3 linked regions of the Lonchura striata genome follow. The protein of the gene in region 2 interacts with the protein of the main gene of each other region in a biochemical or structural test. Links are inferred from orthologs where the notes say so. Each region holds a gene or a part of one and is shown on either strand. Other genes may lie near its edges. The genes, in order: IRF1, SPI1 and MECP2.

Region 1 (10,856 bases), on a different chromosome or scaffold from region 2:
TCATCTTCATCTGTGACTGTTTTGTAAGCACATAAAAAAAAGGGAAGAAAACATAGATGTCAACTTTTAGCCCTCATACTTCTGCTTCTTCACCACAGAACCTACTTCATATTCTCCTGTCACACAACATGACCACTTTTTATTCATGCCCACCCCAGACAACTCACAGCCCTTCATCTCTGATGCTCTTCAACAACTGCACACTGAGGTGCAGGACTCCAGCCAGCTCTGATGCCTCCCCAGGGCTCAACAGAGCAGAGCCCACTTGCTGTGGAAGATGATAGGAGGAAGATGATTTGTACCCCGAGTGAAGAACCACCCTGATATATCCACCCTGATATATCCATGTTAATTATTTATTTCCCCAGTGATAAGCTTCACATCTCTGCTGGAGCAGGAGGCATTTCAAAGCCTTTCACCCATGGGTAGGTGGCATGTGCCAGCTCTTCCCTTCTGCACCCTGGCTGGTGTGGTAACTCCAAATTCCCAAATCTATCAGGTGGGAGTTGTTTTTTCTATAATACAGCTCTTGTTTCTCCTGTTTGCCCAGACACTCCTTCATCCTGCTGTCTTGCCTCCAGCAGACCAGTAAAAGACTGGGCTAGGAAAAAAGAAATACCCACCCTCTGAGGACGAAGCCAGGGGAGACACCTGGAGCTGGTAGAGGTCGTTGGTGCTGTCAGCCATGGTGACCTCCATCGCTGGCCTCCAGTCGGTCAGGGAGCCGCTCACCTCGCAGGAGGACAGGTCTGTGGGATGCACCAGGAGTTGGCACTCACAGGACAGACACAGCCAGCCCTTTTCCCTCCCTGCCAGTCTCACACTGCACCTGCCCCAGCCCCCAGAGTCATCTTTGACCGTGGGTTTAGCACAAATGGCATTTTCCACTCTGCTCAGACTTAAACCCAGCATCTCACCCAAAGTCATGGCTGTGCTCTCCACCTCCACTTCCTGCCCTGCATAGTCGTGAATAGTGTAGCCACTGTGGTCATCTGGCAAAGGAGTGCTGGTTACGCTTTCTGCTGACTCTTTCAGCATTGTCTCTTCATAACACTGAAAACAAGGGTAAAGCATGTCTAAGAACGTGCAAGTTCCCATATGAAAAAAGTTAAGAAAGAAAACCACCAAAACCTCCAACTTCTTAAGCTGTCTCTACAGACACATACCTTTCTCTTGCTCTTGTTTCTTACTTCCCTTGAAGACTTTGACTTCCTTTCTGTGAAATAAAATAAGACCAATGTGAGAAAGGGCTGCACATTTTAGGCAAGTGTGAGCTCTTGCAGCCTTGAAACCTGCTCAGCAAGTTCAACTACTGCCATCACCAGCCAGTCCCCATGACCCTCTGATGCTGCCTTTAGGCATGTTTAAGGAATTTGGGATAAAATGAACTGTTTGTACAAGCTGTTCCCAGCAATAGCCAGTGAGCAAGCTCAGTAGCATCAGTGCTGCCAACAGGTCTGTCACACCGTGCTTACACACAGAGCCTTTAAGTGCTGTTTAAACAGTGTAACTCCAGCTGGATTGCCAAGGGTTTACCTTTCTTCTGATGCTTTGTCAAGGGTGGCAGCATCCTGTAAACCCTGACAGCACTGGAGCCCCTGTTGATGCTTTTATCCTTCACTTCTTCAATGTCAGGCAGGGAATTCATGGCACAGCGGAAATTTGCCTTCCAGGTTTTTGGATCAGGATCTTTCTCACCTTCTTTATACCTTCCTGTAAATAAGAGATGGGTTGTGTATTTCAGACTTTCCAGTGCTGGTTTTTCCCACAAAGACAGATACCAACATTCTATTTTCTGACACACATACTAGTAGTTAATCTAACTACCAGTGTAAATCTAGGCAAAAAAATGCCTTGTTTAGTCTAGTCATGGGACTGATGGGAATGTAAAGCCAGCACACACCTGTATGAATGGCCCAACTCCGGAAAAGGCAGGCATCCTTCTCCATGTCCCAGCCATGCTTAGCTGCATGTTTCCATGGGATTTGGAAGATCCTCTTATCCTGAAATTTAACCAAGAGATTTGAATTAAAAAAAGAAATGTCACATGCCAGATTGGAGTGATGGATTTAATCAGAGTTCTCAATTGCAGTTCAGAAATGTTCTAACACCCCCTGCTCTGTATTTTAGAGCAGGGAGGGTTAAACTATTGGCATATAACTACAATAGTTATTGAATCTATATTTTAATTAAATAGCCATTGTTCCATCTATTTTGTTCATGGCATTTAAGGCTTTTTATGATTTCTGAAACTGGAAAAAACCCCAAAGGTGCTACAGTACAGTAGAACTGAGCAATATTATCAACTTTATCCCCAAGTAATTTCAATATATCACATCTAACCTATTAGTATGTCATATATTACAGCATTTTTTCTAGATACACTTTGTCAGAGAATCTCTTTTTTAAATTGCCCATAAGATCTTGCAGCAATCCTACCAAAAAATGTCGATTAAATATCCTCTTAGGAGTGGACATGGAAACTTAAGACACTTGGTTCAGTAAGCTCAGTGATCTTGACCTGTGCTACACCCTGGTAACAGGGTGGCCTTACAGACCAAAAAATAGAACATTTCTTTCAGGCTGAATCTTAAAAATGGAAGCAAATGGAGTACAACAGCAGCTGCTTATCTGGAACAGGAGGTGACTTGGCTCAATGAGCAGCAGGAATTAAAAGAGATTTTGAATGTTTCTTCATTCTCCAACATACAAAGAATGTTTTCTTTGCAATTTATCATTACCCTCCTGGGAATTTTCTGAGGGAAAAATGGAACTACTCCACTGTGTACCAAGCAGAGCAATCTTTTCTGCAAACAAAACTGTTCCTTCTTAAACATAGTGCTGGCAAGCTTTCTCTATGTCTTTTCCTTTATGATCTTGACTTGTGTTTAATGTCATTTAAGAACAAGGAATGTTAATGCTATACAAGTAGCATAATGATGATAGTAGTACAAAGCAGCCTCACCTTGTTAATCCATATCAATCCTGGTATTTGATTGGAATCAATCTGCATTTCCAACCACGGCCTCATGCGCATTCTTGACACCGGCATGTTGGCTGTGAAAGAAGTAACAAACAGATCAGACAAACTCTCATCACTGTTTTAACCACTCTGCAGTGCCGCCCCTCCCATACTGTCTGTGCTCGGCATCACCACCAGTGCTACCGAGAGCTGCTTTTCGGGAGTCTTAACTCGTTCGGTGCCTCCCAGGGCTCCTGGAAGGAAATGCTTCCTGCTCCGCCTGGCTCAGCTCCACCACACGGCTCAGGTTTGGCATTCGGCAGAGGCCGACGGCAGCAGTGGGTGTCCAGCCCGTGCTGCGCGGGGAGCTCCGGGTGGGCCCGCTCAGCCCGGTTCCGACCAGGTCTGGGTCCGCCAGCACCGCCACGGGGTGCGGCTGTTCCCCCGCTCCACAGCCACGGAGAGGCACCGACCGCGAAACCCTCTTGCTAAAAGTTTATTATTAATGAAGTTGCGCAAGGCGGGGGCAGCGGTGCTGCTGCAGGTGGGTATCCCCAGCCCCACCACGCCCCGTCCCGAGCAGCGCTGCCGCCGCGCTGACCGGCCCTCCCGGCGCTTCCTCTGCACGAATAATTTCCTGTTTGCGGGCTTTTTCCGAGACACACGGCCCAAGGCTGCCCGAAGAACACGTTCCTAACTTTCACAGCTCGGCCTGGGCGGGACGCGGCCCCGGAGAGTGCCGCCCCGGGCCAGGGGCTGCCAAGGGCTGCCCGGAGCGGAGCCGCCCGAGCGTCCCCGAGCCCTGCGCGCCCGCGGGAGGATGCGCGGTGCCCGCCCCGACGGCCGGGGCCGTGCTGCCGGGGCAGTGCCCCCGCTCCGCCTCCAGAGCCGCTCGGCGCCGCTGGGGCCGGCCCCGCCGCCTCAGGCCAGCCGAGCTGAGCGGCGCCGAGCCCCCGGCAGCGCTCCCATGGACCCTGCCGGGCGACTCCTCCTGGAGCTCCCGTGCTGCGCCAAGTGGGGGGCTAACGGTGGGATGGGATACAACAGGATGGATGGGAATAGGATAGGATATAGGATGATTAGGATAGGATAGGATAGGATAGGATAGGATAGGATAGGATAGGATAGGATAGGATAGGATAGGATAGGATAAGGATAGGATAAGGATAGGATAAGGATAGGATAGGATAGGATAGGATAGGATAGGATAGGATAGGATAGGATAGGATAGGATAGGATAGGATAGGATAGGATAGGATAGGATAGGATAGGATAGGATAGGATAGGATAGGATAGGATAGGATAGAGTAGGATAGGATACAGTAGGATGGGATGGGATGGGATGGGATGGGATGGGATGGGTTGCAGCAGGACCCACCTAGCTGTGCCGTGCAGTGCCGAGCTGTGGCTCTCCCGGCCGACCGACGCGCACCCTCCGCCCGCCGCGCGGCTCTGGCTGCCGCCGGCCGCGCCCGCGGGTATAACGCGGCGGCTCCGGGATTCCCCGCGCCCGGGCCCGGCCGCCGCCCGGCCAATCCGCGCCGCGGCGAGGGGTGGACGCGCCCGTCATTGGCGGCCGCCGCGGCATCACTTCGGGGAAATCACGCTGTTGTAGCACCAGCGGCTCGGGGGGCGCGGCTCCCCGCTGCGAGCTCCGGCCCCGCCCCGCCGCCCGCCCGCGCTTCCCGTGCGGAGCCACCGCTGCCCGGAGCCACCGCTGTCCGGAGCCACCGCTGCCCGGAGCCACCGCTGCCCGGAGCCACCGCTGTCCGGAGCCACCGCTGTCCGGAGCCACCGCTGCCCGGAGCCACCGCTGTCCGGAGCCACCGCCGCCCGGCATCCAGGACCGCCCGGGAGCCACCACCGCCCGGGATCCAGGACCGAACCACGGCAGGATCCATCCTCTGTCCCACCGAAGGATCGGGTTTCTATCCCATGGAGGGATCTAGTCCCTGTCTCACAGAGACATCCAGTCCCTGTTCCATGCAGGGACGCAGTCCCCGTCCCGCTGAGATATCCTGTTCCCTTCCCACAGCGGGATCCAGCCCCCGTACCACAGCGTGCTCTCCCTTTTCAGGAAAAGACGGTGGAGTTGTCAGAGCAATTCCTGTGCACATCATGGTGCACCTAAACCAGGGACCAGCTTTTGCCAGGTACCCACCTGGCCTCAGCAGACCAGTGGCAGGACAAGGGGGAATGGCTTCACGCTTAAGAGAAGGATAGGTTCCAATTAGATATTAAATTTTTCCTTGTGAGAGTGGTGATGCCCTGCAACAGGTTGCCCAGAAAGGATGTTCCAGTCCTGGAAGTGTTCAAGGATAGGTTGGATGGGGCCTGAAGCAACCTGGTCTGCTGGAAACTGTCCTTATTGCAAGGTGTTTGCACCGTTAAGGTCCCTTCCAATCCAAAACACCCTGGTATTCTGGGATTCTGTGATCAAAGGTGATCAGTGTTATTGTCCCCTCTTATCCCTCTTGAAGGAAGCCTGAGGAAGGGAAATGGCAGCATGACAGAAGGCTACTGAAACCATCAGGATTTCTCTGTAACTGTATGACAGGGAGATTAGATTTTCACCCAGTGTCTTCAAAATGCATTTCATTCAGCAGAATATTAGAGCATTTTTAATTACTTCCATAATTTCAAGGAAGGTTTGTAATCATATGCAACAGGAATTTATATTGGGAGAGAGGTACAAAGATGCATGGGCAGCTGAGACAGGAGTGTGACACCACTACACTGACTGTCTGCTCTGGCAAGTTTCCTTCTTTTAGTATAGAGATAAAAGAAAAGCCCCAACCTGGTTTTAATTGCAAAGAAACACCCTGTAAGAGTCCCATGTTTTCTCTTAACTAATGATGTTGTCTGCTTGACACACTTAACTTGTGGTAGGATCCTCCAGTCAGGTCTTTGTGTTGAGGGAGGCACCATTCACCACTCAGATTTCACCACAGGTAAGGATATAATATATTAGGTAAATTAAATATGTAATCAAAGGAGAGATACTAGGTATTACTAGACAAATATAAGCCAACATAAATGTAGCCTGAAAAAGACAGAAGATATTTGATATTTCATTGTAAATGTCATCTGCAAAAATAATCACACTACCTCTTATACAACCTAAATATTGACCAAAAAAGATTATGCTTTTGAGTTACAACCTCCCATGGTTTGCTTTCACCACTTTTCCAGCTTTAGAAAAAAATAATTCTGAGCTTCCTGGTTTCATGGGTCTGCACAAGACAAATGCATCAAACATCTTAAATGACTGGATTTTGAACAGTAACATTTTTTAATCTATGACTTCTTTGACTCCCTTACTGGTTTTATAGTCTGTATCTTGACAGAAATTGACATCAGACACCAAATAAACAGACCTAGAATAGAAATGCATGAGGAAAGTAAACAGCCCCATCCCCCAATCTCCTCTTCTTTCCTTGTGTTTAAACCCAGATCGATCCTACATAATGAAACCTAATTGAGCTTTCTATCTGTGTCTTGTCCCACATCTACATGTCACGTTTCCATGGAGCAGGACCTGCCCAGCCTGGGATGCCTTATGCTTGATTATTTGTTTGCTATCTTTCTGCTGAAACAAGGAAATAACTTGTGTGTCCACAATGTTATTGAGTGTCAGACTCCTTTATACCACACTTACAAAACCTTCTCCTTATTAAACTGACTCCTTCCTCTCATTTATCCCACTACACTAACAACCCTGTCAGCAGCTGACCTCAGGTAGCAAAAATATACATTTACATTTGTCATGTATAAAAGTATAATGAAGGAATAATCTCAGGGAGTCATTAAATGGTTGGCCATAAAGCCCTTCTGCTCCACCCAGTTAATCACCCAAGAATTTCTATAATGTCAACATCTTTATTCTCTGCAGAATCATAGCCCTTCTTCAGCCTTATTTTACAGGTATCTTACCTTGGACACCTTTTTTTTCCATAGTCCCTCCATGAATTGCCAATTCCCTTGTTTTATCGCAGAGAAGCAGATCACTGACATATTTTATCACATTTACTTGATCCAGGGGCATCCCAAGTCTAGGATTGATTGTCGAATGCAGAAGTAATATCTAATAGCATCTTTATTTAAAACCAAATTAAGTGCCAAACAAATCCTCCAGCAAGTTGTGTTTGTTATGCTATAACACATACGTCTCCCTCTCAGCCAGAGCCCTGAGATAAGGCGCTCCTAGGAAAACTGTAACTTAAGTGATACAAAAAATGTGACCTGGATGACATCAGCCATGGCATGGCCTCTAAGGAGGGAGGTTATGGATCAGATACAGAGGCTCAAACATGGGTCTTTTTTCTCTGGCATCATTGCTCTTCTTGTTTAAGCAGCTCGGGATGGCTCTGATACTGTGCTGAATGGAAGAAATTGTGGTTAATACAGAACCCCATGGGTTCCATGTGCCATGGGGTGAACCTGAGGCTCCAAACATCCAGAAACACTTTGAGAAGCTGGAAGGTAAAGGGCAGAAAACCAGAACACTTCAGTGCAGGCATGTCTGCCAATGTGGGTACAGACTGAAGAGCTGCATTCACATCCAGGTGAGCCTCGGGTTCTAAATCTCTAAGGTGTCTTGGGGGAAAGAGCTTGAGCATTGTACCAAGTGCTCATGGCAGTCTTTGCTTTGAAGATTTTCCCTCCCCTGTGAACTCAGCCAGGGGAGAAGGTCCACAGTGGGGAATGTGTGCTCAGACAGTGGGGACAAGGGGAGATGGAGACAGGGAGAGATGGGGTTGGAGCTGCCACAGAAAGTTTCTTCTGGGTGGCTTGGTAGTGAGCCCAGGGAGGCAGCAGAGCCCTGGGTCTGCATGGCCAGGCAGTATTTGTGGGGGGGGAGTGAACAACCACAGGATGGAGCAGGGGTTTGTGGAGGGGAAGAGTTGGAGCACAGTGAGAGGGAGCCTCTTATCTCTTTCCTCATGGCCCTGGCTGCTTCCTTCCATCTCTGCATCAAGACCTTTCCATGCCCACCAGGCCTCAACAGCCCTTCCAGACCCCACTCTGTGAAGGTTTGTTTGTTCCTCTTTTCAACCTGCTTTAAGAGAGACCTGCTTTAATTCAAGCCCTTTCCAATTTCCCCCCCTCACCTGCCTCTGTCCCCTTTCCCCATCAGCTCAGAAACAAACCTTCCTTTGTGGAGCTGGACTTAAAAAATGGGTGCAGAGCTGTTCCTATAACCTAGACATTGTCATGGCTCCCCACTAAGGAGCACCCAGCTGCTGTCACACTTTGGTGACCAAGGTCATCTGTGGGCAGGAAATGCCTCTTCCTCCCAAGGGCTTTCCAGGTAGTGAGGGGTTAATGCAGAGTGATTTTTTTTCAGGAGCAGGGATGGAGTATCAGCCTTAAAAACTGCCATGAGGCAGCCAACCAAAACTAGCTGCTGGTGGGTCAGAAGCTGTGAGGGTGCAGGGCTTGCTCCAAGCTGTTTCCATTTCTTATAAATGCCTATTTTACAGAAAGGAACTCTGGTTGAAGCACATGCAGGATAATGAATGTCAGAAATGTTGAAACTCTGCCCAGATGGCATGATGTAATCCCAGCAAGTGCTCTGATCTGCAGGCAACAATAAATATATCCTGGGATGGGCCATTTACAGTTTCCTGGAATTGGAAAGACCTATCTAAAGACTCAAAATTATTCCAGTTCTTCCCAGTGATAACACAGCAAATTTTTTTAATTAGACCAAGCAGAGATTGTGTGCTTGTTTTGGTGGGAGTAAAGGAAATTGCAAAAACTTCACTTGTGATCTTGGACTTTCCATGCTCCTTGAAGGAGGACACAGACATGCCATGAACAATTTGCTGAGGGAAATTCTGTGAGCCGCAGGCACCTGGCAGCTCTGGCAGTTTTGCTGACAAGGGTGCAGAAAAATGATGCCAAAGGGACTTGGACCCTCTCACTTGGGTCTTCACCCAGGGCACAGTGGAGCAGCTGTGGGACAGTGACAGGGCTGTGCTGACCCAGGGTGCCCTGGGGTCCTGGCCAGTAACTACCAAGTCAAATGGGAACCCATGCATTTGAGACTGCTGGAGTCCTGCCAGTGAAGCTGGGGCTGAGATCAGTAGAAAAAAAGGTGAGTTTTGTCTTCAAGTTCTTTGGTTTGCCCTTAGAGCATCCATCTGAGAGTGTGAATGGACCTCCTGCCCAACCAGCCATCTGCAGAGCAGGACTCGAGCCAAAGGGACAAGCAGCACGTGGTGGGCAAGGCTGGCTGTGCTCTTATCTGGCTCCTGGCTGGGAAAGTTTGCTCCATCCTGGACTGGAAAAGGTGCCAAACCTCCCAACTGTCGGAAGGGAAGGACAGGCCAGTGCCTGTGGCAGTGAGGTGCTGTGCCCCCAGCCCTTCTCAGGGGGAGGCAGGGGCTCCTGGGGGCTCTGGAGGCAACTCCACCTCCTGCCCAGCCCCTGCCTGCACCTCCTGCCTGTACCTCCTGCCTGCACCCAGCCCCTGCCTGCTGTTCCTGCAAGCAGAGGCAGGGACACCCTGGGGATGGGGCTCCAGGAGAAGTCAGCTGGAAGTGGAGGCTGCAGTGCAGTGACCTGTGAGCGTTTCACCTCTGCTTCATCTTGGAAAGAACATCCATAATGCCTGCTTTGTTTGAAACAGCGTGTCCTGCCCTTGTGCAAAGAGGGTGCCAAAAGGAGGCAGTGGGAAGGGGGCTTGTCCCAGCTGGGACAGACTGAGGGTGAACAGCAGGATAGGACCTGGGCTGAGCTGGGCTGCTGGTTCCAGTGCTGGAGCAGCCATGGCGACATCAAAGATCTTGTAGGACCATATCAAAGAGTGAAAATCATAAGCTAAAACATCTGAGTTGTATTCCCTATATTTTAATCATTAATTGGCTTTTAACCTTGATGCCAACTGCAAACATCTCTGCCCAGACACAGACCACAAGGGAGAAGAGCAGCCTTAACATATAATACCAAAATTTACATAAGCAAGACTCAGATTTGGTGCTTGAAAAACATCTGCCTGAGGCAGGTGTGGTGCTCCTGTCCTGCTGGGGTCAGAGCAGACACAGCTCTCACTTCTGGCTCTCAATTTTTGATGCTTTCAAAGAGGGTGCTGTAAGCACTGGTCGTGTCCCCTCCAAGAAAAAAAGGAGAAGCCAAGTGACACATCCAGCTGGATGCTGGAGGAGGGAACTGGGACTCAGCTAGCCATGGCTGAGGGACAGTGGCGGATCTGCAAGGAGAGAAGAACCTCTTGCAACCTTCTCCCAACCAAGGAATGGGGGGCAGCACCTCCCTTGAGCAGCACCCAGCGAGGGAGACCCTGGGGAAAGCACCAGCTGTCCCATACGACTCCTTGTTCAAACTCATCGCCTTCCCCTGTTTGGTGGGATTGATTTTTTCTGAAATAAACACAGATTTATTTTTATTATTATTATTTTTAACATCCTCTGCAGTCCCAGTGGAGATTCCCAGCCAGTAACTCACCAGCTGTGGCTATAATCTCAGATCAGAAGGATTTTGATGTCCCTTCCCTTTGTTTTTTGTTTGTTTTTTTTTTTTTTTTTTTTTTTTGTCTCCGCTTCTTTTTTTGTATTTGCCTTCTTTTTGTGTGTGTGTGCCCACTTTTATTTGCATCCCCTTTTTTTTCCGTCCCTCTTTGTGTCCCCACTTTATTCGTGTCCCCCTTTTACGTCCCTCCTTTTTTTCCCTTTTTCGTTGCCTGTTTCTTTCATCCCCTCTCCTTTTTTTCTCCCTTTTTTTGCCCTCCTTTTTCTTTAACCCTTTCCCCTTCTTTTTTTCCTTAGTTTTCGTGTTGCCGTTGTTTGTGTGTTTCTATTTATTTATTTATATGGTTGGTTGGTCGGTCAGTCAGTCAGTCAGTCAGTCAGTCAGTCAGTCAGTCAGTCAGTCA
Region 2 (11,052 bases):
TGTGTTGTCTTCTCTCAGTTTCCAAACTCCCTCACTTTGGACAAATATACATTAACAGCCAATAGTGTCTCCCAGTCTGACAGCTGGGAATTAAATATTTTACAAGTCAAAAGCTACTTTTACAGCTCAGATGTATATTCAATGACCAGAGCTAAAGGGAGGTGTGTTAAATAGACTCTTAAAACAGTGATTCTCTTAATATTTACAGATCTGACTGACTGCAGAGTAACTTGCAGATACTCAACGTCTAAAAATTATTTTACATAGGGCATTGGGTTTGAAAGTCTGGGGCTTAACATTTTTTTATTCTGGATTCTTGGAATCTTTGTCCTTGGATTTGTTTCCTGTCCAGTGATCCTTTTGATAAAATATGTATGTGTTTATCCTTGTTAACTCATGCCACTGGACCCATCCCCACAAAGGACTTGTAATGCCACCGCTTTCTATCTTCGTGCCTGATCTTCAAGGGCCCCCATTAACCAACATGGAAAGATGTATATTAAATATTTAAAAGTCTACTTATCATAAATGTAATCAGATGGTGGTTAGAAGGACATATAACAGCATGTATTCTCTCTGATTATCCTATGGGAAAGTGGGATATTTCCCTCCATTTATCAGAGAGTCTATTTTCAATAACATAGTTTTAATTGCTTTCTGTATTTTTTGGGGGGGGTTGTTGTTTTGGTTATTTTTAGAAAAGTTTCTTTAGAAATGCTTCCTCTAAGAAGAGAGAAGAGGTTTCACCATGTACTGCTGTTGCCTCTTGTGCCAATCTTTACCCACTTGCCCTGTCCTTCTCTGGAACCTCCCCACCCACACCCATTTCATCATCTTACTGACAGCTCTTCCATGACACTGAACTGTTTAGTTACTCCTGACAAAAAGCAAAGAATAGCTCATGTTTAATATTTAACTGATGTCAATGGCCATTTGTTCTATCGGTTGTTTCCATGTATAAGAATGACTGAAAGCTTTGTTAGGATCCCATAACTGTGGTCTAAAGTTGGTATCTCCTTTCATGCGTGCCATGAGGTGCAGTGCACTATCTAAGACAGTATTCTACCCTAGAGTGAGAGGTCAACAAACAATACTTTCTGTCACAGACTTGATAAATGAGGAGTGGCCTCAGTCTTCCATCTTTGCCCTGAAACTCAAGGGAAAAGCCACAAAACCAGTCAGAGAAAGCCTCAGTTGGCATTGGTTAAGAGAGACACATTGGACTCAACTGAATAGCAGTCTGAAAATTTTGTTATTCCCCAAGACTTTGTCAGAAGATTCCAGGAAATTGTAAAATCACTAAATGCTAATCTGTTTTTTATCTTGGTATAACTATTCAGAGGCATGTGATTCAAAAATACTTCAGACAATTTCCAGCGATGTGCCGCTGATACAAGCTTTAAGGTCAAGATTAATTTTATTTCCTTGGAAAAAAATTACAGTATAACTATTTTAGAAAAGATGAGTAAAAATACTAGCATGATTACTCATTGGGCCATCCTCACTGGACCATGTTGGCAGTGCAGTTATGTGGAACAGAATACTTCTGTGGGGCATTTTTGCTCTCATGCAAAAATACTTCATTCAAAGCTATGATTTCTACAGGTGGCTACTTAAGGATTCATATAAAACTGGAACCCTCTTCAGGCAAAAGTGTTTGACTTAATAATGTTCTGACCCGTAACACAACTGAATTCTACCATGCACTGGAAGACACAGACCCAGTTTGCAGAATTTTTCCCCACAAAATTTCTAATCTTCAGAGGAAGATGCAGTACTCCCAAACAATTTAAACAGTGTTTTCCATCTGAAGGATAAGAATTTCCTAGCTTGGGCAAGAAAAAGCAGTTACTGACCCACCCTCAACTGAACGGGGAGGGGTGGAGGAGGGAAGTGTTGCTGCAACCCCTGCCTAGAAACAGGCTTGTGTCTCCCCACTGAAAAAGCCCCAGGAGACACAGACATGCAGGAGTGTAGCTGCAGTGCTCAAAGTGCACTTAAAGCAGTTTTGAAAAAACAAACAACAATATTCAATTTTTGGCAGTTTAATCACAAAACAAAAAAAATCAAGTTGCCCTGTCAAGTGCTTAATGAAGATGCACTTGGTTTTTCACTGCCAGTTGTATTGCTCATCTGAACACAACCCAGACAGAATATTAACTACAAAACAAATTAGAATATGGGCCAAACTGTGTTAGATTTTCACTCAATTTATTCAACATATGTCCTGGAATTCAACTCTGGGGGAAAAAAGAGACAGAAAACTTGGCTATGAGTTAATAAATGGACAAAAAATTAACAATTGCTTTGTTTTTTTTTTTTAAATGGAGATGTAGTTTTCTGGGGTAGCTAAGGACAACAAGATTTGTGTTTCTTTTTAATTTATTTTTTTTAAGCCAAACAAGTAACATACTGAGAAATCTCTATATATGTTTTTTTTTTTTTAGTTAGTTTCTATTCAGATTTCTATTCTGTTGCACTTGCACCAGACCCATTGGGAAATTCTGCATATTTAAGAATAAGAAAAATATTTGTAGTCTCCTCACCCTTTGAGTAGATAGGTGATTTCAGGGGCACTGATGATAAACTGAGAAAATAAAGGGTCTCCCCCAAAAATAAGATAAATACTTTCAGTCAGTCATCATGAATTCTGAACATGATAGGAATTCAAAGGGCAACTTTTCTGGATGGAAGATAAGAAATGTTTTTAGTCTTCATTAAATGGGACAAGACAAAGCCAGAACTTGATACAAGTTTTTGCGAAAAACCTCTTGGATCTGCATTGTCTCTTTTCTTCTCTGTCACATGTATAGCAACTACTGTAAGCCATCTACCACATAAAAAGCAAAGTGAACCACCTTATCTGGCACGTCTTCAGCTTCTACAAACTTAATGAAATCTAATTAAGGCCTCTTGCACCCATTCTGTTTAGAGATTTCCCATTAAGGCTGGTTTGTGAACACCAGGTTAATGACATTATTTTTTCCATAAATAATAATTTTTTAAATCATCATATGATAAATTACAGCAGTGCAACAATTCTTCAGAGTTAAGGAAAGGATAGACCTGCCCCATAAGCACACAGAAAAATTTATATCTTAGAGAAAACATTGAAAGAATCAAATAAGGACCGCAGGTTTTTCCCCATATGCCAATTACTTTTTCACAGTTAGTGAATTCAAGAGAATTTAAGAAAATATTAAGTTAAAAACTAAAATGCCATCATTGAAAAGAACACACAGAATCCTAAAATCTGCAATATGCAAATGAACATTCAACAATTCTCTCACAGATTAGTAGACAGTTAAATACATAAACTATGTCAGAGACTTCAGATGATTAAGAATTACAATCTGAAGAAAGACGGCTTTTATATCACGTAGGTGGCACTGAAGAAGAGAGATTTACTGACTTGCTATAAATGCCATGTACAAAAATACCATACATTTAATCTCTGAAAACAAATGGAGATCAAAATCAGATACAAGTTTGGGGAGGAAATGTTAATTTCCCTTTCATTGCAGTGTTGTCACTAGTTTTATATATTGACCTAAGCCAAACTTCCTGACATTATAAATACAGACCAAACCAGAGATATTCTCAAATAAATAAAACTGGTTTACTTTGCCTTTTACTACTGAACCAAATGATCCATATTACAAATAAATTCATATACTCACAGGGGGAATAAGGGGAAATCCTTCCATCTTGCAAGCTTGCAACATTCAGCCAACTTCTGAGTGAATTTTTCTTAATTCAGTTTTCAAACATCCAGAATAACTGACTTGCAAAAAATCATATTTTAAAAATGGGAGGAAAAAAGGAAAAATAAAGAAAAAAGAAAAGGAAAAAAAAAAAAGTGAGATCCTTGGACTCTGTGAAGTCCCTTAGCAGTGGTGGATCTCAGGACAGGAGGACCCTAACAAGTTTTCATAGTTTGCCCTAATAGGTTCTGAGGTGAACTTCTTCCCGAGTTGTATGCGAAGTTCCTGATTTTATCAAATGTCTGTAGAAGGCAGATAGGCCTTGGGTCTATCTGCGCTGTGACATCACACTTGAGCCAGTTTGCATAAATCTCATTTCAGGGAGCTGTGGCGCTGCAGCAGGAAGTCTGCCCCAGCATGGACAGGTGCTCTGCTGTACAAGCAGCAGCCCAGGGCCTGCCATGAGCGTGCGGTGCAGCGCCCGGGGGAAGGCTCTGTGCTCCCACTGCACATGAACCAGAACCATGGTGCTGCTCTCTGCTTTAATGAGACACCATAGACACAGTCCTGACAACTTCTGTGAGGCCAGAGCAGTGGCATAGACTTGCATCAATAATAGTCCTGTGTTGAAATTTATGTGGCAATACTTAGCAGGTAAGAAAAAAAAGAGTATGCAGTTTCAAATACACAGTCTTAGGTTTATACAAACACTGAAGTTATGCCCATGAGACTTTTCGTCGTCAGCTTTGCATGAGAGTAAATTCAGTGAAAGATACTTTGTCCTCTTACTTGTTTCTTGTGAACTCTTTTCTTTTCTAATTCCTACAGGAGAAAGTGAGTGGGGAAAAGGAGAAAGTATTACATGTCCTTCAGGTCCCGAGTACCTTTAGCAGTGAATAGAGAACAAGATCTATAGACTCCTGCTTGAAGATTCAGGTGCAGAAATACCTTGTAGAGATTTTGTGTTAGTTCTGCTTGCTTGATTTTCTCCCCTCTCTTTATCCCACTGTTCTGCTGGCATTTGGCTGCACAGAACAAATGCCCTTCATATGCAGGTTCTGGCAGTGCCAGAGGTGAGTGGGGCATGGGGCAGGACGTAGGGGATGGGGCCTGGCTACAGGGGGAGAGAGCTCTCATTCTGCAAAATGCCTTCTTGCTTTGCAGTTAGTTACTAATGTCTTGGAAAAGTGAAGTTTCTTTGTCTGGTTTGTTCCCCTTCAGTCTATACCCATGTGCCACAGGTTCTGCTTTTGAAAGCAGCCTGCTTACCACTCACCTGGATCTGTGTGCAAGGGGGAATTTCAGCCACTCCAGACTTCCTCCCTTGTACACTGGTAAAACCAGAGGCCACTCACAAGTTCCTCTCATTCCCCACCCTCAGGAACTCCATGAGCAAACCATATTAGCAATGGGATAATATCAAGAACATGATGGGATATTAACTCTTGAAGCTTCTAACTGGATTTCATCAGCATTAGTTGATACACAAGCATTTAATTCTTCCTTAATTCATACCATGAACTCTTGACTTCAGCCTGGGAATAAGCAAGCTGCTTAACAGTCCACTTCTGCTTCTGAGATGGTTCTCAAGTCACCCCCTGGATACCAGCCTGGAAGTGATCAAACCACCTGGGGGAAAAGGAGAGAAGCAAAATAACACCCTGATGATAAAATTCAGTGCAAACAGAAGAGAAGGGAGTGAACACACAAATCTTACAGTGGGCAATTGAATAATAGGTGATAAAAGCAATTGTGGAAATCCTGTGTCTATTAACAAGGCTATTCAGAGCGAGGAAGATATGCTATCTGATTCACTGCATATTGAAAGATAGCTTAAGCAGCTTCTGCAAATATTAAACATGTGTTTTATACAGAGAGGCTTCTACTAAAGTGGAATGAAACTATATTCCATAGGCTGGAGGACATTTCTGTACTGACTTTTAGCAGAGGAAATTGCCTAATTAGGACAGATATTTTGCACCAGCCTTACTGCACTCAGGGAATGCTGACTTGCCAACATTATCGACTGGGTCCAAACATATAGTAATTGTAAGTGCATCAAGGCAATCAATATAAAGAATTAAATTGATTCTCTATATGCTGACTCAAAACTAAATTATATGACATAAGGTTTCAGGACGAGCAGGAAGTCCAGCAATTGAATAATCTTCCTAGGAAAGAGGATATGTCCATAAATGGAAATGCTCAAAGTGAAATAAAACACTTGTTTATCACAATTGTATAGCAACATCATTAGTAACAACCTTGCTAAAGTTCAACACAGACTAGTTTCTCACAATTGCATATAACTGATATTTTATCCTCTGTTTGTGAGCACAGAATCTTCTCACCCCGAGAGCAAGGGCAGCTAGAGGTGATACTTTTGCCCCAGATCCTTGCAGTTGCCTTATTAGATTACTTAAACCAAGAAAATAGATGAAATTACAGAACAGTTGTGTAGTAGTGAACTGATTTCCAGAGTAACTGATGTGAACTGCTACTCACAGGGTGCATTTTGACCTTTAAAAATACTTTTGAATTTGGATGAAGATCCTTCTCCATAATGGAATTTGAGAACTAGAGAAAAAACTGATGAGCTGAAGGATTAAGTTTTTGAAAGATTATTTCTGATAACATTAAACATTCATCTGAATCTTTTCCCTCTAAGCATCACCTCACTGTGTGCATTTTTCTTGGAATATTTCTTGCCCTACCTCTAGCCATTTGTTCTTTAAGCCATTTCTAACCACAAACTACCAAAGCAAAAGGGTTTCATCTAGCAGCCACATCACAGAGAGGTCTCGTCACCTCAAACCTTGTTTGGTGCTTGGAAGGTAATTTTCCCCCCTACTAAAACCACAGACAACATCACTCATTCTGTAGTTCTTTAATCAGAAACAGGTGTTTACACAGATTCTGCTTCTGAGTTTTCTTGTAACAGAAAGACAACACCTCTAAGCAAGGAATTCCCCTGTGTTCTGTATTCTTCACAGTATTATGTTTTGGCATGGAACTTGTTTTTATCTAGACCTAATACAGCTTGTAGGTCTTGTATACCATCCTTTAACATTTACTATCCATTGAGACTACATGGGTCTCTGACTGTGGAACCTGTGGGGTCTGGAGGACAGTCTTCTCTTGATAACTGCTTGTTGCATGCACTCATACTGAGGTGAAGATATTTGTTGAAATATCTTTATTGCATATGTTGTTGTGAGAGAGTAGGAGGCAGAAAATGGCTGCTGCAAATTCTGGCTGAAAAGATTTTATTACCTCTTTTTTCTCACGTGGACCTGCACCTCAGGAACTTTAACAGACTGACTATACTCTCTCCTGAAATATGTGCTCCTATTTCTACTGTGGTGGTATCACTCACTGATGTTCCCTTGTGATACCCACAGGTTTATTGGCATGACTGTATTTCAATAAAGACTTTTCCTCACTATATGGGTATCCCTTCCCAGAGCTGATGCAATTCATACTTGCAAAAAAGTGCTTTTTGACAGTTCAGCTTTCATGAGTTCCTGAGTTTTATGTAACAGCATCTATACAAAGACTTTTGCTAGTGGGAAATGTGATAAAATGCAATTAAAACATCAGTTTTAGCTAACTTCAATATATTGACAAAGATTTTCAAGCATAGACTAGATTCCATCCATATGAGAATGGAGAAAACCACTTTCATTTGGAGGAAGAGAAAACTTCATGGATATTTTAAGAACTATTATGATATGCATTCACTTACAGAAATGAAAAGCATTTATTTTTTTCAGTTGATTAGTAACTTTTAAACTCTTCATAAAACAGAATTCAGCAAAGAAAAAATCTCTCTTTGGCAATTTATATGGCTTTAAGATCTGTTTACGTGTCATCTGCATTTTATTACTTACTGTATTTGGGAAAACTTGTTTGGGTTTTAAGGCATTTTCAAATAACTATATGGTTATGATTTTATATGGTTTTTAATGATCTTCTGCATTCTGTGGGCAACAGATTTTCAATTTACACATTTCTGCTCGCTTATTGTTATCCAATCTCTCAAAACCTTAGTATCTTTTCAAGCAATTAACATGGAAGACTGCTTTAACCATCTACTTCTGAAGTCTACATCCAGTGTGCATCCTACCTACAGTCAGTAGCACCAGTAAGGTGAAGGCAGAATTGTCTATCACCCTCTCACCTCCACACAGCCTCTCCCCAACCCCCCCAAAAAAAATCAGATACTTTAATGGTAAAAATTAAATTATAAATTTAAGGTGAATCTGTGATTCAGCTTGAGAAGAATATATTTGTAGAGAAAACTACTTGCTGCTGATGGAGGCTCAATACACCCTGTATTTCTTTTGACAAGGTGTCACTTCAGATTGATTCTAGTCTGATGGCATGGAATTCCCACTTGCAGCTGGAGATCTGAGCTACATGTTCAGTTTAATCTGAAAATAATCCAGTTTGTGCATCCTAATATTTCTGTGTGGTGCAAAGTGTAGTAAGTGGGAAGGATCGGGATATTGATTTTAGAAGTGTTCTTATGATCCGAACTATTTTGTTGGACTACATTCACCACTGGAGAGGATTCTTACCGTGAGTCTGTAGTGACCTCTGCCAAGCTGTGTCAGAGACATCTTTTCTGTGTGGAGCTTGATTTGTATATTTAGGTAGCAGTTCTTTCCTGAGAGCTCAGCTGTACCTAGTCTTGATCCCTAATGTAAATAATACTTTCCAAGCTTGCATCTTATTAGGATTATACCTCTTAGCAATCTCTCAGAATTCTAAAGAGAACAAGGCTATTCACAAATAAATGTGCTTAGGTAGCTGGTGGATTTGTAGCTGTGCCTCTGGCTCTCTGCCACCACTTTGATGAGGACTTTGTGCTTGGAATGTTGCACAGACAGAGGAACTAAAGTACTGGGAGCCAGTGCTGTCTTCCATCCTCCCCATGGGTGTTTGGCTGCATAAGAGCTGAAGTATGTATGCAAGGCCTAGGTCACAGCTTTTTGTGTGTGACTAGGCAGGTGTGTATGACACACTCAGGAGTATATTATCTGTTGAAACTTTTTACCAACTAGAAAATTGTGTTTAAATTAATTACAATTCATTCTTTTGTATCCTCAGACCATCTTTACTAAATAAGTCACATACAGTTAGGTTATTCAGTCTTCACTTTTACTTTCTTGCCTGTGATTTTATTCAGGTGTCTTGAAATCTGCAGGGTTTGGTGAAAAGCTGAAATCCTTACCTAACCTGGTAGAAAAAATTAACAGCCTAGAGATAAGTAGCTCCATCTTAAGCTTTTCCTTTCTTTAAGAGCAAAGTTTGCCTAGTGCTTTGTCAAGTGCTACATCAGCCAGGTAAAGGATACAGGCCCATTGAAGGTGCTGATAAATTTTTGTTTAGATGCCGTTATTTTGCTCTATATTTTTAGTACTATGTTTTTTGCAAAGTTGTTCTGCTAACAATAAATGCGTTGATACTTTATTTCCTCCCTTCTCTTGTTTGCATGACTGTGACTATTGGTCCTCTAATGTTGCAATCTTTTCATTTTAATGCAAGCAATTTGCATTAAAAAATCTACAGTACCGTAGGTACTGTACTGAACTCTATTTAATTTTTTTTGTTGTTGTGCAATGTATTACATTGAACATTAAACAATTACATAACATATTGCACATTAAAGAAAAAAATACTAGGGGGGAATACTTTTGTGAAGGGTATTCAAAGGACATCAAAATTTGGTTTTGATGTGATAGTTTAAAGGAAAATAGTGGAGAAATACAGCAGAAAGTTTTTGAACAATGATCTCCCCCTTAGAATGGAGAAAGGAGAGGAAGGAAAAAGAGTCTGAAGCAGGAACACCAGACAGAAGGAGACTTGTTTTTCAGGTCATTGGTGGGCAAGAGTTTAAGCAATAAAGGAAAGTGAAAAATTTTCCACTTACAGGTGTTCTGCAAGAGGAAACTGCATATCCTTGATAAAGCCTGGTTGTGTAGATGGGCACAGACAGCCTCTAGGACAGCAAGCCTTACAACAGCTTTGCTGATAGAAGGCGGGAGAAGGAAAACTGAGAGGTTTTGTTTTGGCCATATTATATTAATGGCAGTATTTTAAAGAATGTTACAGAAGAATAAACTAAGAGGCATGTATCTTGGAAAATTAGAAAAATAGAATTATATTCCTGTTTTATGAGCAGGAACAGTCATAAATCTGAGCAAATTAACCATGTGGAGAGCCGAAGGTGTTATGACAAGGATTTCAGTGCAGTGGCAGTGGGGTGCAGAGGAGCAGAATGCTTTGATTGCAAAGTGCCTGTATATGGTTGAGGGGGGGAAAGGGAAAGAGGAACTTGGGGTATCTTCATTTGTAGGACTGGATCAATTCACAATAATTACCAGAAGGAGTTAAACATTTTCTGGGGTTAAAGTGAATCAGAATCTGCACACCATGTGCTGGAAATTCCCTAAATGATTTCAGTGGTCATTAAGAAAAGGGAAATGGTACTTTTCTGAGTAGGAGATGATGGGAGACAGAGGAGTAGACACCAAAACAGAGCCATGGCTGACTATTTATAACTCAGATTACAGGACTCCTGCCAGCTGAGAAGGGGACAAACATTCTCAATGGCTTTTTCTTTTGATTGGGGGTCTTTTTGGTAACCACTGTGACCCTCTGTGATGGATAACACAAGAAGCTGAGATACAGTTCTCTTAGAAATACTACGTGCAGTTATGTACAGCATAGGCAAATATAGGTAAAGCTGCTGATAAAATATACTCTGCTGGTGAATGAAAATTCAAGTCTTCTGCAGTGACCTTATTCTCACTCCCGTGCCCCTGGGAATTTCTTGTCTCAAGTTTCTTGTCTCTTCAGTGACAGACCTCACCCATATACAAGGCCTTTAAAATTTAATTAAAGTACTGGATTGTGTATTTTAAACAGTGACAAAATTTAACATAGTTTACAGTTGCAGCATGTTGTTACCAAAGCTGTTTTTTCCCTTTAATTCAGTAATACAGAATAAACTTAGTTTAACCAGTAAAAGTATTATGTTTAGACCCATATTTTCCAGGCAGTATTTAGGGATTTTTCTGCTCAGGGTCTGTATGACTTTGTAAGTCAATGAAGCATTTCTGAGGAATCTGAGAAAAATATAAAAAGTAACAGTTTTACCAGTGGGCTTAAGCTGGCCATGTAAAATGCACACATAGTTGCACCTACATAGATGAATTTTAAAGATCTACAAATAAAAATATTTTTTAAAATCCGAAACCTAGAGGTACCTCTTTATTTTATTTTCTTTGTATGCCTTTTCTTCTGAGTACCATTTGTCTCCAGCTAAGATCTTGCCATCATC
Region 3 (10,076 bases), on a different chromosome or scaffold from region 2:
GTCAGTGCTGGACACATGGACACTGACAGACAGGGCCCTGCACCTCTCCGGACACGGCACTGGTCAGTGCTGGACACACGGACGGGCCCCGCATCTCTCTGGACACAGCACCGGTCAGTGCTGGACACACGGACAGGGCCCCGCATCTCTCTGGACACAGCACCGGTCAGTGCTGGACACACGGACAGGGCCCCGCATCTCTCTGGACACAGCACTGGTCAGTGCTGGACACACGGACAGGGCCCTGCATCTCTCTGGACACAGCACTGGTCAGTGCTGGACACACGGACAGGGCCCCGCATCTCTCTGGACACAGCACCGGTCAGTGCTGGACACACGGACACTGACAGACAGGGCCCTGCACCTCTCCAGACATGGCACTGGTCAGTGCTGGACACACGGACGGGCCCCGCATCTCTCTGGACACAGCACTGGTCAGTGCTGGACACACGGACAGGCCCCGCATCTCTCCGGACACAGCACCGGTCAGTGCTGGACACAGACCCCGCCGGACACACGGATGCAGCACCGCAGCTCCCTGGACACGGCACTGGTCAGTCCCGGCTGCACAGATGGACAAACGGACAGGACCGGACACACGGACACGGCACCGAATTGGCCAAAGCAGGGGATGGGCCTGGCCAGAGCCAGGACAAGGAGGAGGAGGAGGAGGAGGAGGAAGGAGGGGCAGCCCGGACCGGCGGGAATTACGGCCGCGGCCGGAATGCCATCCCAGCGCTGGTCAGTCGGCGGTGTGGGGGGCACGGAGGGGACGGGGGCTCGGAGTGGACACCGGACGTCCCCAAAGCCCCGTCCGGGCTCGGCCGGACTAAAACCAGCCCTGGGGGCCGTGGTCAGCGCAGGGCTGTCACCGGGGCTGTCACCGGACCCCCGTGTCGGTGTCACCGGGGACGGGACCCTCGTTAGGGGGGGATTTGGGGTGGGGTGGGACCCCCGTCCTCGGTGTCACCGCTGCCACCGGCGCGGGGGTCCCGTCCTGGCGAGGAAACACACACAGGTGAGGCTCGGGGAGGGGCGGGACCCCCACCGTGGGGTCGGTCATGGGGAGGGGGATGCAGCCCCCCAGGACCCCCTCCCCAGCGCTGGGGGTCCCCACGGTGACACCCTGGACATCAGGAGAGCCCCCCGACCCCTCCCCACCGAGAGGGGAGCACGGCCGGGACCCCCCAGCCCCATCCTGGGGCTAAAAGTCACAAAAACGGCACCAAAAAAATTTGGGAAGGGGCGTGGGAATGGCGGGATGAGGGGGACTGGGGACAAGGGGTGACCCCCAGGGACTCCCCGACATGTCCCATGGTCGGGGGGCTGAGGTGGCCCTGGGTGGTCTCTTGGTGGCCCTGGGGGGTCCCTGGGAGGTCCCAGAGGGGTCTGGGGTGGCCCTGGTGGCCCCAGGGTTGAGGATCCCAAGGGGGTCTTGGGGTGGGCACAACCCCGGGCACAGCAAAGGTGGGCGTGAGACCCCAGATTTTGGGGTGTTCCGGGGAAATTTGGATAATTCTGGCAACATTTGGGAAATTTAGGGATGATTTGTGGGATTTCGGGGCGTGAGGGCAGTTTTAGGGCAATTCCAGGTGGGATTTGGGGGAATTTGGGGGGACTCGGAGGGGCCGCGGGAGCGCGGCTGTTTTGGGGGAATTTGAGGCGTTTTTGGGAGCAGCATGAGGGGAACATTTGAAGCAACTTTGAGGCGATTCTGGGTATTTTGGGGCTGTTGTATTTTGGGGGAATTCAGGGTATTTTGGGGTAACTCGGGGAGTTTGGGGGCGCTGCATGAGTGCAGCAATTTGGGGAAATTTGGGGGATTTTTGGGTAAATGGAGTGTTTGGGGTGTGCTGCCTGAGCAGCGTTTTGGGCAATTTTGGGTATTTTGGGGTGGCGCACGAGCAGAAAATTTTGGAGCAATTCAGGGGATTTTAGGGTAAATCGAGAGGATTTGGGACACGGCGTGAGGAGCAGTTTGGGGCAATTTTGGGTATTTTGGGGCGCAGCATTTTGGGATAATTCAGGGGGTTTGGGGGCGCAGCGTGAACAGCGGTTTGGGGCGTTTTCAGGTATTTTGGGGTGCATCATTTTGGGGCAGTTTGGGATAATTTGGGGCATCACGTGCATGCAATAATTTGAGGCAGTTTTGGGGTGCAGCATTTTGGGGAAATTCCGGTTATTTTGGGGTAACCCGGGGTGTTTTGGGGCACCACGTGAGTGCGAAAGTTCGGGGCAAATTTGGGTATTTTGGGGCGCAGCGCAGGCGTAACATTTTGGGGTGACTCGGGGTGTTTTGGGGCGACTCGGGGTGGGTTTCGGGGTGACTCTGGAGTGGGTTTTGGGGTGACTTCAGGAGGGTTTTGGGGTGACTTCGGGGTGGGTTTTGGGGTGACTTCGGGAGGGTTTTGGGGTGACTTCAGGAGGGTTTTGGGGTGACTCCGGGGTGGGTTTCGGGGTGACTTCAGGAGGGTTTGGGGGTGACTTCGGTGTGGGTTTCGGGGTGACTTCTCTGGGGTGGGTTTTGGGGTGACTTCAAGAGGGTTTTGGGGTGACTTCAGGAGGGTTTTGGGGTGACTTCGGGGTGGGTTTTGGGGTGACTCCGGGGTGGGTTTCGGGGTGACTTCAGGGTGGGTTTCGGGGTGACTCCGGGGTGGGTTTTGGGGTGACTTCAGGAGGGTTTTGGGGTGACTCCGGGGTGGGTTTTGGGGTGACTTCAGGAGGGTTTCGGGGTGACTTCGGGGTGGGTTTCAGGGTGACTTCAGGAGGGTTTTTGGGTGACTTCGGGGTGGGTTTTGGGGTGACTCCGGGGTGGGTTTCGGGGTGACTTCAGGGTGGGTTTCGGGGTGACTCCGGGGTGGGTTTTGGGGTGACTTCAGGAGGGTTTTGGGGTGACTCCGGGGTGGGTTTTGGGGTGACTTCAGGAGGGTTTCGGGGTGACTTCGGGGTGGGTTTCAGGGTGACTTCAGGAGGGTTTTTGGGTGACTTCGGGGTGGGTTTTGGGGTGACTTCAGGAGGGTTTCGGGGTGACTTCGGGGTGGGTTTTGGGGTGACTTCAGGAGGGTTTCGGGGTGACTCCGGGGTGGGTTTTGGGGTGACTTCGGGGGGGGTGTCGGGCTAACTCGGGGAGTCACGGGGTGATTTAGGGGGGTTTGGGGTAACTCTGGAAATCCGGGGTGACTCGCGGGGGGTTCGGGGTGGATTTTGGGGCGACTCGGGAAGGGTTTGGGGCGGTTTTTTTGGGTTTTTTTTGCGCGCGGGACGGGCCGGGGGGGTGTGTCCCCTTGTGGGGGGGGGGGTGGGCGGGGGTCCCTGCGAGAGATGGGGGGTCCCCAAATCCCACCCTGACGGGATGGCGACGCACACAGGATTTTGGGGAAGGGGTGTATTTTGGGGGGGGGGGGGTGTCCCCAAATTTCACAGCGGCGCTGAGGATGGGGTTGGAGGGGGGGGGCCGCATTTTGTGGGGCTGGCGGAGGAAAGGGAAGGGAGGTCCCCCCGTGGCGGAGGGTCCCGAGGAAGGCTCGGGGGGTCCCACCGAGGGTTCCCCGGAGCCGGGGGGCTCCTCCCGCCCCCCGGGGGGGCCGCGGCCGCTCGTGACGCACTCGCGGCGCTCGCAGCCCCCCCCCAGCCCTCACACACACACACACACCCCCCCCGCCCGCCATCCCCGGTTCCCGCCCGGCCCGTGAGGGGAAGGAAAAGGGGATGTGGGGGGGGGGGGGGGGCGTGAGGGAGAGAGGAGGGGGGGGGCGTCGCCCCGTGCGCGCGCGCGCGCGAGACCCCCCCCCCCCCCCCCCCACCGGCTCTCCGCTCCCTCACAGCTTTCCCCAACAGCCGCCGCGGCCCCCCCCCGGCCCCGCCGCCCCCTCCTCACTCACAGCCGCCCCTCGTCGCCGCTCGGCGCCGCCGCCGCCATTTTCTTCGCAGCGAAGAACCCGCGGGGGGGGGGGGGGGGGGGAAGCTGAGGGGGGGGGCCGGGAGGGGGGGGGCGGGAGGGGGGGGGGGCGGCCCGGACCGAGCGGCGACGGGAACCCGGAGCGGCGCTGGCCCCGCCCCTCCGCCCGGCGCTGATTGGCGGAGCGCACCGTCGGTCAAGGCGTCGGCGCGCGGCGATTGGGCGGCGGGGCCGCCCTCCGGGGGCGGGGCCGGGGCGCTCGCGGCGGGCCGTTGGAATTGGCGGGAAGCGCTGTCAGTTACGGGGGGCGGGGTCGGCGGAGCGCGCGCGGCCGCTCATTGGGCCCCGCGCCGGGACGCCGGGTGCTGATTGGCTGTAGGGGACGTCGGTCAAGAGACGGCGGAGGGGGCGTGGCCTGGGCCCCCCCGCGCTGTGAAGGGTTTGAAATCCAACGGCCGTAACGGTCCGTGAGGCCACGCCCCCGGCCACGCCCCCGCGAGGCCACGCCCCGACCACGCCCCGCCCGCCCCGGGTCCCGCTGCCCCAGCACGGGGAGAACTGGGACCAGTATGGGGAGAACTGGGACCAGTACGGGGCAACTGGGACCAGGACGGGGAGAACTGGGACCAGTATGGGAATAACTGGGACCAGTACAGGGAGAACTGGGACCAGTATGGGAATAACTGGGACCAGTACGGGGAGAACTGGGACCAGTACAGGGAGAACTGGGACCAGTACGGGACAACTGGGACCAGTACAGGGAGAACTGGGACCAGTATGGGGAGAACTGGGACCAGTACGGGACAACTGGGACCAGTACGGGGAGAACTGGGACCAGTACGGGGAGAACTGGGACCAGTATGGGAATAACTGGGACCAGTACGGGACAACTGGGACCAGTACAGGGAGAACTGGGACCAGTATGGGGAGAACTGGGACCAGTATGGGAATAACTGGGACCAGTACGGGGAGAACTGGGACCAGTATGGGGAGAGCTGGGACCAGTACGGGGCAACTGGGACCAGTACGGGAATAACTGGGACCAGTACGGGGCAACTGGGACCAGTATGGGAATAACTGGGACCAGTACGGGAATAACTGGGACCAGTACGGGGAGAACTGGGACCAGTATGGGGCAACTGGGACCAGTAGGGGGAGAACTGGGACCAGTATGGGAATAACTGGGACTAGTACGGGACAACTGGGACCAGTACGGGGAGAACTGGGACCAGTACGGGGAGAACTGGGACCAGTATGGGGCAACTGGGACCAGTACGGGGCAACTGGGACCAGTACGGGGAGAACTGGGACCAGTATGGGAATAACTGGGACCAGTACGGGGAGAACTCGGACCAGTATGGGGAGAACTGGGACCAGTATGGGAATAACTGGGACCAGTATGGGGCAACTGGGACCAGTACGGGGAGAACTGGGACCAGTATGGGAATAACTGGGACCAGTACGGGGAGAACTCGGACCAGTATGGGGAGAACTGGGACCAGTATGGGAATAACTGGGACCAGTATGGGGCAACTGGGACCAGTACGGGGAGAACTGGGACCAGTACGGGGCAACTGGGACCAGTACGGGGAGAACTGGGACCAGTATGGGAATAACTGGGACCAGTACGGGGAGAACTGGGACCAGTACGGGGAGAACTGGGACCAGTATGGGGACAACTGGGACCAGTACGGGACAACTGGGACCAGTACGGGGAGAACTGGGACCAGTACGGGGCAACTGGGACCAGTATGGGAATAACTGGGACCAGTATGGGAATAACTGGGACCAGTACGGGACAACTGGGACCAGTACGGGGAGAACTGGGACCAGTATGGGGCAACTGGGACCAGTACGGGGAGAACTGGGACCAGTACGGGGCAACTGGGACCAGTACGGGGAGAACTGGGACCAGTATGGGAATAACTGGGACCAGTACGGGGAGAACTCGGACCAGTATGGGGAGAACTGGGACCAGTATGGGAATAACTGGGACCAGTATGGGGCAACTGGGACCAGTATGGGAATAACTGGGACCAGTACGGGACAACTGGGACCAGTATGGGGAGAACTGGGACCAGTATGGGGCAACTGGGACCAGTACGGGGAGAACTGGGACCAGTATGGGGAGAACTGGGACCAGTACGGGACAACTGGGACCAGTATGGGGAGAACTGGGACCAGTACGGGACAACTGGGACCAGCATGGGGCAACTGGGACCAGTACGGGGCAACTGGGACCAGTACGGGGCAACTGGGACCAGTACGGGAATAACTGGGACCAGTACGGGGAGAACTGGGACCAGTATGGGAATAACTGGGACCAGTATGGGAATAACTGGGACCAGTACGGGACAACTGGGACCAGTACGGGGACAACTAGGACCAGTACGGGAATAACTGGGACCAGTACGGGGACAACTGGGACCAGTACGGGGCAACTGGGACCAGTACGGGGACAACTAGGACCAGTATGGGAATAACTGGGACCAGTACGGGACAACTGGGACCAGTATGGGAATAACTGGGACCAGTACGGGGAGAGCTGGGACCAGCACAGGGAGAACTGGGACCAGTACGGGGCAACTGGGACCAGTACGGGGAGAACTGGGACCAGTACGGGAATAACTGGGACCAGTATGGGAATAACTGGGACCAGTACGGGACAACTGGGACCAGTATGGGGCAACTGGGACCAGTACGGGGACAACTAGGACCAGTATGGGAATAACTGGGACCAGTACAGGGAGAGCTGGGACCAGTATGGGAATAACTGGGACTAGTACGGGACAACTGGGACCAGTACGGGGAGAACTGGGACCAGTACGGGGAGAACTGGGACCAGTATGGGGCAACTGGGACCAGTACGGGGACAAGTGGGACCAGTACGGGACATCAGGGACCAGTATGGGGATCGTGGCCACCAGTCCTGGACCAGTACAGGCACCACAGACTCCAGTGCAGGACCAGTATGGGGACAACTGAGACGAGTACAAGACCAGTAGAGGCACCAGTGCCACCAGTATGGCACCAGTATGGGCACTGCAGCCACCAGTAAAGAACCAGTATGGCACCAGTATGGGCACTGCAGCCACCAATAAAACCAGTATGGCACCAGTATGGGCACTGCAGCCACCAGTACGGGGACCAGTATGGAACCAGTATGGGCACTGCAGCCACCAGTAAAGAACCAGTATGGCACCAGTATGGGCACTGCAGCCACCAGTATGGAGACCAGTATGGAACCAGTATGGGCACTGCAGCCACCAGTAAAGAACCAGTATGGCACCAGTATGGGCACTGCAGCCACCAGTAAAACCAGTATGGCACCAGTATGGGCACTGCAGCCACCAGTATGGGGACCAGTATGGCACCAGTATGGGCACTGCAGCCACCAGTAAAGAACCAGTATGGCACCAGTATGGGCACTGCAGCCACCAGTATGGGGACCAGTATGGCACCAGTATGGGCACTGCAGCCACCAATAAAACCAGTATGGCACCAGTATGGGCACTGCAGCCACCAGTACGGAGACCAGTATGGAACCAGTATGGGCACTGCAGCCACCAGTAAAGAACCAGTATGGCACCAGTATGGGCACTGCAGCCACCAGTAAAGAACCAGTATGCCACCAGTATGGGCACTGCAGCCACCAGTATGGGGACCAGTATGGCACCAGTATGGGCACTGCAGCCACCAATAAAACCAGTATGGCACCAGTATGGGCACTGCAGCCACCAGTAAAGAACCAGTATGGCACCAGTATGGGCACTGCAGCCACCAGTACGGAGACCAGTATGGAACCAGTATGGGCACTGCAGCCACCAGTAAAGAACCAGTATGGCACCAGTATGGGCACTGCAGCCACCAGTACGGAGACCAGTATGGAACCAGTATGGGCACTGCAGCCACCAGTAAAGAACCAGTATGGAACCAGTATGGGCACTGCAGCCACCAGTAAAACCAGTATGGCACCAGTATGGGCACTGCAGCCACCAGTAAAGAACCAGTATGGCACCAGTATGGGCACTGCAGCCACCAGTACGGAGACCAGTATGGAACCAGTATGGGCACTGCAGCCACCAGTAAAGAACCAGTATGGCACCAGTATGGGCACTGCAGCCACCAGTACGGAGACCAGTATGGAACCAGTATGGGCACTGCAGCCACCAGTAAAACCAGTATGGAACCAGTATGGGCACTGCAGCCACCAGTAAAACCAGTATGGCAAGGACGGCCACCAGTCCGGCCACTGTGGCCACCAGTTTGCTCACGGTGCCCCCAGTCCGGAGCGGGGTGGGGGAGGGCGGGGGATGAGCGGGGATGGAGCTCTAATCCCCCCTCCCCCACCCCCGGCCCCTCCCGACCCCCCCCCCGGACCACCCCCCAACCTCCCCGACCCCCTCCCCAATATGGGACCCCCTCCCAAACCCCCTCTGGACACCCCCAAACCCCCCCGGACCCCCCATCCCCCCCAGTCCATGGGTTCCTCTCCCCTCCCCCCAACTTTTTTCCACCCCCCCTCCCCGTTTCGGGGGGTCCCACCCCCGCCCCCTCCCCCCCCCCGGATCGGGGCCACCTCCGGGGGGATTGTCCCTAATCCCGGCCACCCGTGACCCCCCCGGGATTAGGGGGACACCTGGGGGGGGTCCCCAGAGGGACCCTGGGACATGTAGTCCCCCCCTTGGGGGGGGGGGTGGAGGGCAAGGAACCCCGCAAATGTCAGCCGGGACCGCCCAAAATCCCCCGGGACCCCCCAAATGATCCCCGGGACCGCCCAAATTCCCCCGGGACCCCCCAAATGTCAGCCGGGACCGCCCAAAATCCCCCGGGACCCCCCAAATGTCAGCCGGGACCACCCAAAATCCCCCGGGACCCCCCCAAATGTCAGCCGGGACTGCCCAAAATCCCCCGGGATCCCCCAAATGATCCCCGGGACCACCCAAAATCCCCCGGGACCCCCCAAATGATCCCCGGGACCACCCAAAATCCCCCGGGACCGCCCAAATGATCCCCGGGACCACCCAAAATCCCCCGGGACCCCCCAAATGATCCCCGGGACCGCCCAAAATCCCCCGGGACCACCCAAATGTCATCCGGGACCACGCAAAATCCCCCGGGACCCCGCAAATGTCAGCCGGGACCGCCCAAAAGCCCCCGGGACCCCCCAAATGTCAGCCGGGACCGCCCAAAATCCCCCGGGACCCCCCAAATGATCCCCGGGACCGCCCAAAATCCCCCGGGACCCCCCAAATGTCAGCCGGGACCGCCCAAAATCCCCCGGGACCCCCCAAATGATCCCCGGGACCACCCAAAATCCCCCAGGACCGCCCAAATGTTACCCGGCCCCCCCAAAATCCCCCGGGACCACCAAACGCCATTCTGCACCCCACCAGGGTGGGGCAGAGACCCCCCCCAAATGTCACCCGGGACCCCCAAAATGTCCCCTGAGACCCTCCAAAATCCCCCGGGAACCCCCAAATGTCACCCGGGACCCCCAAAATGTCCCCTGAGACCCTCCAAAATCCCCCGGGAACCCCCAAATGTCACCCGGGACCCCCCAAATGTCCACCAGGACCCCCCTCCCAGATGTTGCCAAAACCCTGTGGTGGCATCAGGGGGGGCAGTGGGACCCCAAAATCCAGGGGGGGAATTGGAGGGGCTCCAGAGGGGTTTGGGGGTACAGGGGGGAGAGTCTGGGGTGTTTTGGGGTATGGAGGGACTCGGGAGAAGTTTTGGGGTGCAGGCAAGGGGGTTTGGGAAGGTTTGGGGTTCAAATTTGAGGTCCCAGCAAGTTTTTTGGTTTGATTTGTGGGCACAGGACGGTCCCAGTAAAAATTTTGGCAAACCAGGGAGGTTTTGGGGTCCAATTTGGGATCCCAAAGAAGGTTTTGGGGTCAAATTTTGTGGCACAGAGTGGTACCAAGGAATTTTGGGGTCCAGTTTGGGATCCCAAAGAGTTTTTGGAGTCCAATTTGGGATCCCAAAGAGTTTTTGGGGGTCCAATTCAGGACCCCAGGGACCTTTTGGAGCCAAATTTGGGCTCCCAGGCACCTCCCAGTCTCCAGTTTGGCACCTCAGCACCCCTGAACCCCCCGCAGCACCCGAGGGTATTTCAGGACCACCACCCCCCCACCCCCTCCCCATCACACCAGCACCCAATTAAGCCCTTTTAGGG

The links.
Region 1: the proteins of SPI1 (region 2) and IRF1 form a complex in vitro, tested with the Homo sapiens proteins (2 studies listed by BioGRID). The link is inferred for Lonchura striata from reciprocal best matches to the Homo sapiens genes SPI1 and IRF1.
Region 3: the proteins of SPI1 (region 2) and MECP2 form a complex in vitro, tested with the Homo sapiens proteins (2 studies listed by BioGRID). The link is inferred for Lonchura striata from reciprocal best matches to the Homo sapiens genes SPI1 and MECP2.

What each region holds. Positions count from the first base shown.
Region 1 is NC_134617.1:10,776,537-10,787,392, forward strand, and holds the start of IRF1 (interferon regulatory factor 1), read right to left. Parts: upstream 4,447-10,856; 5' UTR 4,341-4,446; intron 3,058-4,340; 5' UTR 3,053-3,057; coding exon 2,966-3,052; intron 2,004-2,965; coding exon 1,904-2,003; intron 1,714-1,903; coding exon 1,537-1,713; intron 1,217-1,536; coding exon 1,167-1,216; intron 1,054-1,166; coding exon 918-1,053; intron 750-917; coding exon 624-749; intron 17-623; coding exon 1-16. UniProt on the Homo sapiens protein: Transcriptional regulator which displays a remarkable functional diversity in the regulation of cellular responses.
Region 2 is NC_134608.1:39,308,734-39,319,785, forward strand, and holds the start of SPI1 (transcription factor PU.1), read right to left. Parts: upstream 4,009-11,052; 5' UTR 3,726-4,008; coding exon 3,681-3,725; intron 1-3,680. UniProt on the Homo sapiens protein: Pioneer transcription factor, which controls hematopoietic cell fate by decompacting stem cell heterochromatin and allowing other transcription factors to enter otherwise inaccessible genomic sites.
Region 3 is NC_134638.1:1,376,983-1,387,058, reverse strand, and holds the start of MECP2 (methyl-CpG-binding protein 2), read right to left. Parts: upstream 3,929-10,076; 5' UTR 3,920-3,928; coding exon 3,882-3,919; intron 1-3,881. UniProt on the Homo sapiens protein: Chromosomal protein that binds to methylated DNA. It can bind specifically to a single methyl-CpG pair. It is not influenced by sequences flanking the methyl-CpGs.